Oryctolagus cuniculus: one gene and its partners. The protein of the gene in region 1 purifies or fractionates together with the protein of each later gene. This does not show direct contact. Links are inferred from orthologs where the notes say so. Each region holds a gene or a part of one and is shown on either strand. Other genes may lie near its edges.

Evidence for each region. Proteins that work in one complex are often made in the same cells at the same time.
Region 2: the proteins of RRS1 (region 1) and NPM1 purify together in Homo sapiens (affinity purification with mass spectrometry; 3 studies listed by BioGRID and IntAct, counting the BioPlex papers as one, with this or other methods). This does not show direct contact. The link is inferred for Oryctolagus cuniculus from reciprocal best matches to the Homo sapiens genes RRS1 and NPM1.
Region 3: the proteins of RRS1 (region 1) and NIFK purify together in Homo sapiens (affinity purification with mass spectrometry; 3 studies listed by BioGRID and IntAct, counting the BioPlex papers as one, with this or other methods). This does not show direct contact. The link is inferred for Oryctolagus cuniculus from reciprocal best matches to the Homo sapiens genes RRS1 and NIFK.

Annotation. Positions count from the first base shown.
Region 1 is NC_091437.1:92,090,286-92,094,003, reverse strand, and holds RRS1 (ribosome biogenesis regulatory protein homolog), read right to left. Parts: upstream 2,407-3,718; 5' UTR 2,288-2,406; coding exon 1,178-2,287; 3' UTR 682-1,177; downstream 1-681. UniProt on the Homo sapiens protein: Involved in ribosomal large subunit assembly. May regulate the localization of the 5S RNP/5S ribonucleoprotein particle to the nucleolus.
Region 2 is NC_091437.1:58,117,773-58,121,519, forward strand, and holds part of NPM1 (nucleophosmin), read left to right. Parts: coding exon 1-110; intron 111-624; coding exon 625-718; intron 719-1,024; coding exon 1,025-1,131; intron 1,132-1,222; coding exon 1,223-1,290; intron 1,291-3,747. UniProt on the Homo sapiens protein: Involved in diverse cellular processes such as ribosome biogenesis, centrosome duplication, protein chaperoning, histone assembly, cell proliferation, and regulation of tumor suppressors p53/TP53 and ARF.
Region 3 is NC_091434.1:128,346,663-128,349,942, reverse strand, and holds the end of NIFK (MKI67 FHA domain-interacting nucleolar phosphoprotein), read right to left. Parts: intron 2,286-3,280; coding exon 2,226-2,285; intron 2,110-2,225; coding exon 2,002-2,109; intron 1,358-2,001; coding exon 1,169-1,357; 3' UTR 523-1,168; downstream 1-522.

The DNA.
Region 1 (3,718 bases):
AGTAACAACTGCATGTTTGCACCTTCTGTAAATTATTACTATGGAGTGTGAATTAGTCTTTTCTTTCATAGCAATTCCTAAAAGTAACCTTACACCAATGAAGCAGAAAGAAAAGACAAAACGCCTCTTATCCATTGTCAGACCAAAAACAGTTGGATTGCTTCCAGCACTGTGGCAGAGTTCTCAGGAAATGTAGTATTTATCTTTACACACGGAGGAGCTGACCGAGATCAAGCTGGAAGAAACTGATGGGACAGGGAAGAGACCCAAGACAGCTTTCAACGTTTCACCTGCTAAACAACCCAGCCCAGGTCAGTGTAAGCACCGTTCCAATTAAGGATGACTCTGTGGGCCACTGGCTTCCCCAGTGGGAAAAAGCAGGGTAGATTCATAAACGTTGAGAAACATTGAAGTATTTTTCAATTAATGAGATTTGTTGGTATTTAAATTCTTGAGTTACAGCAATGTTTTCAGTGCTGTAAAGCATGAAATGTTTCTTAAAGCAGCTACCAATTGTACTACATTATTAATATTGAATTTGATTCCAAAAGAAGTTATTTTTCTAATAAAAGTGGCTTTGCTGAAACCATTATAATTTAACTGCTTTGTGTTTTCAGAAAGTGAAAACACTAGGAATGCAGGTTGCTGGCCTTATACATTTACCACAATAGTCAAAAAAAGTTAAAGTCAACACTGGATACAGTTACACTTTATTAAATAACCATTACATCTGTTTCTTGTAAACCCAGTTCTGAAAATATCTGTAACCTCCCCCACTGCTGATAAATCTACATACTTGTTATAAAAATAATGCAGAAATGTATAAATCAATCTGTTAAGGTTGGGAAGTGTGGCCGGCTCTCCCTCACCCCATATCCAAAGTTAAAAAGATGACTCTGTCAGAACTCATTCCCAGTTTTCATCAACACATTGTTTCCCTAATTCTTAACGTCCTCTGGCACATCCTTAATCTCCAGCCAATCTCAGGTGTGGGGAAAACATCAACCCGGTAGAACTGACAACTTACAGGCTCTCGAGGGGAGGGCAATCCCGTCCCGTCAGCCTCAAGCTCTCGGAAGGCAGCAGCCGCCTCCCCCGCCCCCGCCTATGGTCCCTGGATGTTAACATTTGGCACGTGCAGGTCTTGGTTTACAGTTCGGGTCCCAGGGTGAAACTGCTACTTCCGCCTCTTTCCTCCTGGGCGCTGTCCCCCTCCTCCCCCTCCTCGCCTCTTGCCGCCCAAGCCCGGCGGCCCGGAATTCATCTTGCTTCCCGAGCCCCCTTTCCGCTTCCCCCCGTGGCTGCGCGGGCCCCCTTTCCGCTGGCCCCCAGACCCCTGCCGGCCTCCCTTTCTCTTGCCCTTCTGGCTCATCTTCCTCTTCTTGGCGGCCTCCTCTTGGTCCTCCTCCCTCATCTGCTTATTGGTGGCCTTGGTCACATCCAGCTTGGGCTTCTTGCTGTTCATGACCCGAAGCAGCTCCAGCTGGTTCTTTTTCTCAGCCGAAAAGTCCCCGAAAAGGGGTTGGAACTTCCTCTTCTTGCCGGAGCCCCGGGGCGCCTTCTCTTTAGGAAGGCGCTCTTGGAAGCGCCCCAGAGAAGCGGTGGAGACCTTGGCTATTTGCATGGCGCGGCCCAGCTCCTCCTTACTCTGGTGTCCCGTAGGGTGCAGGCCGGCCGTGCTGGGCAGCTGGGTCTTGTGCGCGCGGGCCAAGTTACGCAGCCGATTCAGCTCGTTCTTGGCCACCCGTTCCTTCTTGGCCTGAATGCGCTTTGCAAACTGGTCCTCCATTGGGTCGGCGCCGCCGGGCACCTCGATCAGCCATTCTTTGGTGTCGTCCCGGGCGCGCTGATAGCCCCAGCGGCGCCGCCACTGCCCGCTCACCTCATCCCAAACCAGGTTGGTCTTCTTCTTGGGACGGATGCCCTTGAGGCGCGCGAACTGCTGCCATCGCGTAAGCGGCCGCGGCCGGGGCACCGGCTTCTCCCGCGGCAGGCGGGTGGTGGGCTCGGGCAGCCGCGCCACCAGCGCCTCTTCCACGCGTTCCGTCGGCAGCTGCCACAGCTGGTTAATGAGCAGCTGCGTGTTGTCCCGCGCCAGGGCCCGCAGCTCGGCCTCCGGAGCGGGTCCCGCCCGCCGCAGTCCCGTTGGGGGGTTCCGGTCGGAAGCCAGTAGATTGCCCAGGTCAAACTCCAGCTCCAGCTCCTTGTGCACCGTGATGCGCTGCAGCTTTTCTGCCTCGTCCTTCTCCGCCTTTGCCAGCAGCTCCTCCACGCTGTGGCCCTCCATGGCTCCGGCTCGGCTTAGTCACTTTGGGGGCCACAGTTGAAGCGACTTCTCTCACGACTGCCGACCCACAAACCGGCACAGCAACCACGTGTGTCCGCCCGGACGCTCAACCCGGAAGAGAAAGGTTCACTTCCGGAGCACCCGGAACCGGCTCCATTCCCACGACGGACAACGGGCCAGCAGAGGGCGGTGTTGGAGAGCTGATGGAATTAGAGGCGGCCCCTTTTTGCTCGTGTCTGGATGCAGGTAAACTGGCGCTAGGAGCCTGTACTACAAATTCTGGAGCCTGAATGGGACTGCATCTCCCAGGATGCAGCGAGGCAGAGGGGTGGTCAGAGAGGCGGTCCGGGATGGGGCGCGGGCTCGTGCAAATGTGTATGGGGGGCAGATGATGTGGGTTCTGGAACAACTAGGTGTTAACGATTTTAGTGTAAATCTGTTGTAAAGATATTTAACTAATCATGCTTCTAGGGGGTCAAATTGTTTCACCAGAGTCATAATCCGCTCTCAGGGTTCTGGGTGTGGACTGAAAAAGACATATCCCACAGATTTACATAAAGCTAAGAAGATTGGTTATCTTTTGTATTAAGCAGAGCGGGCAAACTGTCCTGAGTGGGCGCAGGTGCGCGCCGACCCCAGAGCGCTCCCGCAGAGCCCCGCGTTTCTTTCCTCTCCTGGAGAAAGATGGCCGGGCTCTGCAGTTACACTGCCTGGCTTCCAGTTCTGGTTGTGACACTGAGCTTTGACTGTTTGACTTGCTTGGGCCTATGTTAAAGCCTGTAAGATGGGGTTCTGATGCTGGGGCTGTTATAAATATGAAGGGGTTAGTGTGCCTCAGAGGAGGCTTAGATCAGGGCTTGGAACGCCAACAAAAGTTAAGTACAGATTATTACTTAATCTTCATAATGGCCCTGGGAGCTATCTGAAGAGGTATTGCTATACTCTAGGTGGTGTGAGTCAAACTGCCTATAATCAGATCTCAGTTTGTCATGTACTATGCCTACAAATATGCCTATGGACAAATTTTCTAACCTAAGTCTTATTCATAAGTTTGTAAATATGAAACAGTTCGTGGTGCATAATAAGAACACAATACATATTAGCTATTATTGTTATTAGCTGTGTATTCGGCATGTTGTTTGTGCTGAAAAAGGAAGGCTCAGGGACTTCAGAAAAATTATTTCTCTAAGGTTATACAACTAGGATATATGGGAACAGGAGGCATCTTAACTCTGCCCTTAAAACTACATGCAGTATGTATTCTCTGAAATGTCCTTCAAGCTCCTGATAATCAAAAAGTGTGGCCAGCTGACCAGCTGCACAACATCACTTGGGAGCTTGTCAGAAATATGGAGTGAACAGGTCTCACCCCAGAAGTAATTTATCAGAACCTACATTTCGATAAGATCGGCAGGTGGTTAGTATTCATTT
Region 2 (3,747 bases), about 34 Mb from region 1:
GCGCTGGTGCCAAGGATGAACTGCACATTGTTGAAGCAGAGGCAATGAATTATGAAGGCAGCCCGATTAAAGTCACACTGGCAACGCTGAAAATGTCTGTACAGCCAACGGTAAGGGTGCTTGGATTTGGGATTTTATGTCAGGATTTAGTTCTGTTTTAATGCAGGTATTTAGGTTACTACAAGCAGTAGTAAAAATTTTTTTAAAGATTATTTGAAAGTCAGTTACAGAGAGGCAAAGAGAGGTCTTCCAATGCTGGTTCACTCCCCAAGTGATCGCAGTGGCTGGAGGTGGGCTGATTGAAGCCAGGAGCTTCCTCCAGGTGTCCCCTGCTTTCCCAGGCCATAGCAGAAATCTGGGTCAGAAGTGGAGCAGTTGCCCATACAGGATGCTGGCAATACAGGCAGCGGCTTCATCCACTTTGCCACAGTGCTGGCCCTAGAAAGTGGAATTTTATTTGGTGCTTCTTTACCCCATTAGTCATAGCTACATGTTTCTGTCACTAGAGTTGAATGGTCAGCTGTTAAAAAGGTTTCTGCTGTTAAATAGAGGGGGAAACAGACTCACTGGTTTATTTTGGTGTGTGGATTTGCCTGTAATGCTGTTCTTAAATCTCCATTTTAGGTTTCCCTTGGGGGCTTTGAAATAACACCACCTGTGGTCTTAAGGTTGAAGTGTGGTTCAGGGCCTGTGCATATTAGCGGACAGCACTTAGTAGGTATGTTCTTTTCATATACTGCATTGTATATATATATATATCATATACTGCAGTTGCTTGGCTTCTGGTTTGTACTTAAACCAGGCTTGGTTATACTATTACTGTTTATAGTGAGTTCCAGTGAGAACCTTAAATTAATGATAGTAAGGGCATGTTTAACAACAAAATCCTTTAAAAAATTCTGTTGCCATTTGCTGTCCTTTTGTTGGATTTTTAAGTGTTCAGCATTCTATAGTATTAATCTTTATTTTTCCTGAATGATTCTTGTTTGAGTTTTAAAATAAATGTCTGATAATTTTATTTTAGCTGTGGAGGAAGATGCAGAATCAGAAGACGAGGAGGAAGAGGATGTGAAGCTATTAAGTATATCTGGAAAACGATCTGCCCCTGGAGGTGGCAGCAAGGTGCCACAGGTAGAGATGTCATTTCACTGCAGATTTGCATTACAGCCTTTGTTAGGTGGTAACAATCAGCATTTGCTCATAAGTATATTTTCCTTTTTAGAAAAAAGTAAAGCTTGCTGCTGAAGAAGATGATGAAGATGACGACGACGACGATGATGATGATGAAGAGTGAGTAGCATGCTTTTATGTGCATGGGTGGTAATTTTATGGAAATGATTTACCAGAGTTATTCTGTGCAATAGTTCATAATTAAAGGGATTCATGTGGTCAGTGGTTGTCAGCAAAAAAATGTTGGGACTGAGCCTTTAAAATGCTGCTGTGCATTGTGGCTTTTCCTAAGAGTAGAGCATGCAGCATTGGTAGGAATGGGAAAGTAGAGACAGAATCCTTCCATCTATTGGCTTACTCCCCAAATGGGCTGAACCAAAGCAATGAGCCCAGGAGTTTCTTCGACCTCCCATGTGGGTTTGGGAGCCTAAGCAATTGGGCGATCTTCCACTGCTTTCCCAGACCATAAGCAGAGAGTGAATTAGAAGGGGAGCAGCTGGGACATAAACTGGCACACTTATGGGATGCTGGCACCACAGATGGAGACTTAGCCTGCTGTGCTACAGTGCCAGCCCCAGTAGATTTACTTTTTAAAATGTAACCACAGTGTCGGAATTGTCCCTTTGTGTATATAGTAAGTAGATAATGCTTAGGGAGAAAGTAAAGTATGGGTGGTCCAAATCAGCACATTTTCGAATAGAGGAGAGGGTAGTCAAAAGCATGTGTGTGCTAAGGGACGTCATGGTTGCCTCAAGGGGGCTGAGGGTTAAGAGCATGGCATGGATGATGGTTAAGATGTGAAAAGATGAAATAGCCAATTGGCAGTAGACTTTGAACAAAGAACAAGGTGAAAGGGAGATCCTCTTTTGAGGATGGAAAGGGTATGGCACAGCTTAGTTGAAATTTATATCTGGATTCTATACTAGTATTGTTGGACAGTGTCTTCTGTACTGAATACAGACTTGATTTTTAATCTTTCATCATTTTTGTTAGGTGTAAGAAGTAACTTAGAGGTGATTTGGAGTATATGTATGTGTATATGTATGCGGACACTCTTATAAGTGGTTTAAATATCCCTGGATTGTGGAATACTTGGATCCTGGAATCAACACCCTGTGCAGCCATCACCTAAAAACAATTTTCTGTTTTTACATTTATTTGAAAGAGTTAAGGAGAGAGGGAGAAACAGATCTTAACATCCACTGATTTGCCCCCAAGTGGCTACAGCAGTCAGGGTGGAGCCTAGCCAAGAGCCAGGAGTATCAGTGAGTGGGAAGTGTCTAAAACTTGGCCTTTTGAAGTTTTTTTTTAAAGACAGATTCTTTTATGTCTTAAACCGATTTATTTTTAAAACTTTTTATTTGAAAGGCAGAGTTAGAGAGGCAGAGAATCTTCCATCTGTTCACTACCTAAGTGGCCGCAACAGCTGGAACCAGGAACTTCTTCTGGATCTCCCGTGAAGGCACAGAGGCCCAAAGACTTGGGCCATCTTCTGCTTTTCCAGGCCACAGAGGAGATGGATGTGAAGTGGAACAGTTGGGTCTTGAACTGGAGTCCATACGGGGTGCTGGCACTGCAGCTGGTTTAACCCACTGCGGCACATCACCAGCTCCTTGAACCTTTTCTTGGGCCGTTATCAGGAAGCTGTATCTGAAGTGGAGTAGATGCGACACCACGTCACTAGCTGCACAAATCATTTTAAAATGGTGTAACTGAAAAAATCATTTCCCTTAGCTGTGACTCCTCATGTTCCTCAACGAATGAACTTGGTCTTTATATTTGTAGATTTGCCTATTCTAGATGTTTCGGGTAAATGGTGACTGGAGGTTTAACTCTTCGGGAAAAAAAAGCCTGGCAGTTCCTCTAAGTGCCTGAATGATTCCTGCCAGTGGTGGGTTGTATACATACCTACCCCACTGGTGTATAGTATCATTGTGGTTTTGATTTGCATTTCCATGGTGACTGGTGATGGACATATACCATATGTATATCTTTGGAGAAAAATGTTGGTCAGATCCCTTGCTCATTCAAAAATTGCTAGAGTTCTTTATATTCTGGAAGCAAGTACCTTAGGTGATTTGCAAATACTTTCTGCCATTTTCTGCCATCTTCAGTAACTTGGTGGTAGCCTTTGCATAAAAATTCGTTTTCATGAAGTACAGAATTTTTTGCTTTGCTTTTGTTAAACCTAAAACACCGTTGCCAAATCTGAGGTCGTGAAAATATACTAGTAGCTTCAGCATTCATATAGGTCTTAGATTACTGTTTGAATCACCAAGTGAGAACCCTATGTGGTTTTAGGACAGATTTTTCCAAGGAAGTCAGCATTGTTGTAGGGATTCTGTTGAATATTGTCATTAGATTTAAGTCTACTGTGAATTTTTTGTGTCTTTAGGGTTTTTTTTTTTTTTTATTTTTTTTATTTTTTAAGATTTATTTGAAAGAGTTAAACAGAGCACAGAGAGCTTCCAACCACTGGTTCACTTCCCAGATGGCCACAATGGTTGGAGTTGGGCTGATCCAAAACCAGGAGCCAGGAGCTTCTGGGTCTCTCCCATGGTTCAGGGGCCCCAGAAC
Region 3 (3,280 bases), on another chromosome or scaffold:
GTCTCCCATGCAGGTGCAGGGCCCAAGCACTTGGGCCATCCTCCACTGCACTCCCGGGCCAGAGCAGAGAGCTAAACTGGAAGAGGGGCAACTGGGACAGAATCCAGCACCCCGACTGGGACTAGAACTTGGGGTGCCAACACTGCAGGCAGAGGATTAGCCTATTGAGCCGCAGCGCCGGCCTCCCCCAAGACTCTTTAAACACCCATCTGTAAATGGATCTCTCAATCTCAGAATCCAATTGCACACTGATGATATTGACTTAAAACAAGTATTTAATCATGCTAACCTACCAAAACCTACATAACTGGAAAGTGAGTCATATTTCAATCTGTATCAACACACAAATGAATCTGTACTAACATTTGAATAGCCTTCTATATATTCGCACTTGCAGTTTCAAAGACCAGATATTTCTGTGTAAAATACCCTGACAAGTTAAAGGTGTACAACTACTATGTCAGTGAGATTGGTGGTCTTCATTTGGTGGTGACAAAAATGCTGCACTTTAGTACTTAAACCTTTTCTTTTTTTAAAAAATATTTATTTACTTATTTGAAAGAAAGTTACAGAGGGTTACAGAGAGTTACAGAGAGAGAGAGAGAGAGAGAGGTGTCTTCCATCTGCTGGTTCACTCCCCAGATTGCCACAGTGGCCAGAGCTGTGCTGATCCGAAGCCAGGAGCTTCCTCTGGGTCTCCCACGTGGGTGCAGGGCCCAAGGACCTGGGTCATCTTCTACTGCTTTCCTAGGCCATAGCAGAGAACTGGATTGGAAGTGGAATAGCCGGGGCTCGAACCGGTGCCCATATGGAATGCCAGCACTTCAGGCTAGGCATTACCTGCTGCACCACAGCGCCAGCCCCCTAGTACTTAAACTTAATGATGACCAGTTTTTATGTAGGCAGAATAACTAAGGAGAGCTATGAAAGCTAAAAAGAAAACAAGACTATGACAAGGACACTATGAAGCCAACCACTGCAACACTGTGCCTTAGCAAGGGCAGACAAGCCAAAATCACTGATTGGTTTCCTGAGTGATGCAATCAAATAGCTTGTTTTTCTCTGAAAAATCCCATCAATGGTTGCATTCCGTAGTATCACAGTAATACTCAGAGTCATAAAATCATCACATTTTCCAGAAGATATATTATACAAAATACACTCAGAATCATGGATTGCTTTTTCTTCGTCTTTTCTTCCCTGAACGTGCAGTTGTTTGAGTCTCTTGTGTTTCTTCTTTTACATCAGATACAGGCTGTTTGAAAACTATTTCATCATCTTTCTCATCATCTTTCATTTCAGCTGCTTCAGATTTTCGTCTCTCCAAATATGATGGTGTACAAACTGGTGTGGGGCCCTGGAACCAACAAGTGGAAATTTGTAATACACAAATGTGGAGTGACTTCAGGAATGACTTCACCCCAGACAATCATATCCCCTCGATTTTCTTTCTTTCTTTTTTTTTGACAGGCAGAGTGGACAGTGAGAGAGAGACAGAGAGAAAGGTCTTCCTTTTAGTTCACCCTCCAATGGCTGCCACAGCTGGTGCGCTGCAGCCGGCGCACCGCGCTGATCCGAAGCCAGGAGCCAGGTGCTTCCTCCTGGTCTCCCATGCGGGTGCAGGGCCCAAGCACTTGGGCCATCCTCCAATGCACTCCCGGGCCATAGCAGAGAGCTGGACTGGAAGAGGGGCAACTGGGACAGAATCCGGACCCGTCTGGGACTAGAACCCGGTGTGCCGGCGCCGCAAGGCAGAGAATTAGCCTACTGAGCCACGGCGCCGGCCTCCCCTCAATTTTCACAAAGCTGTGCCCTGTTATTTTAGGCCTGCTTCTATTTTTGGTGATGTAACAGCAGATAAAGTTGCCAAGTCACCACTAAAGTCCTACCAAAATATCACAAGGTTAAATTGGAAACCTAACAAAAGGACAGTAGCAGAAATTGCTTCTCTTCCCCAAACAGTTTTTACCATGGTGCCCAGAATATTGAAGACAACTTTACCTGGCTATCCACAGTCTTCTCAGGAGTGTTAGCAGTACCTGAAGTCTTTTTTTTCTTCTTCTTAGGTATGCCAGAAGTTTTCTTCTTCTTTGAAGGTACATTTACCACCTTCAAATAAATTTTAAGACTTTAGCAATCTATACATTTACCAACTATGTGAATATACATTTTTAATTCTTTTTCTATTATCTGCCATATAATTCAAAAATTTTTAAAAAATTTACCTGGCCATTTGTAGATTTCTGAAGATCAGTGCTTCCAACATTTTTCCCTTTCTGTAAAATCTACAATAAACACAGAAATTAACAACAAGGAATCTCTTTTTTTTTTTTTTTTTTTAAGACTTATTTATTTGAAAGGCAGAGATATAAACAGAGAAAGAGAAATATTTTCCGCCCACTGGTTCAATCCTGAAACGGCCACAGTGGCCAGGACTGGGCCAGGCCAAAGCCAGGAGCAAGTTTCTTCTGGGTCTCCCAGATGGATGCAGGGGCCCAAGCACTTGGGCCATTTTCTGCTGCTTTCCCAGGCCATAGCAGGGAGGTGGATCAGAAGTAGAGCAGCTGGGACTCCAATAGGTGCCCATGTGGGATGCCGGCACTGCAGGCAGTAGCTTAACCCTCTATACCACAGTGCTGGCCCCTCGTCGTTTTACTTTTTATACATAACCCATGTATTATTAGGGAATCTTCCTTAACTGACAGAGCATTTCAATTTAAAAGCAAAACCCACAAACATAGTGAATACAGTGGTAGAACTGTAAGATGGGTCTAACTGAAGGACTGGCAGAAGCCAGAGGTTGGAGGGAAGCCAAGACCTGGAGCTGGAGGACGACAATCCCAACTTCAGGAAAGCAGGAAGAATGTGAGAGCTCAACCTACGTGTATCACGGTGGCAATGAAGCCAGTTTGCTTTTCCACTAAATAATAAGCAGGGTGCAGGGGGAAAAATGCTTGTCTGTTTCCAAGCTTCACTGTCCCAGCTGCCAAATGCAAGGAGATGACATGATGTTCTAGTATGTTAATGACCATGTTTAGCATTTGGACAAAGAATTGAGAATCAGGAATGAGGCCACAGGAGGATAACTCCATCTTCTAATTTCTGGATAAGGCTTTGAGACTTAATAAACTTGGGAATAGGTACCATTTCTTACCAACTACTTTAAAAAGAAAATTAATTTTATTTGAAAGGCAGAGTGACAGAGGAAGACAGAGGAGGGAGAGACAGAGATTTTCCATTTGCTGGTTCACTCCCTCAATGGCTTTAACAGCCAGAGCTG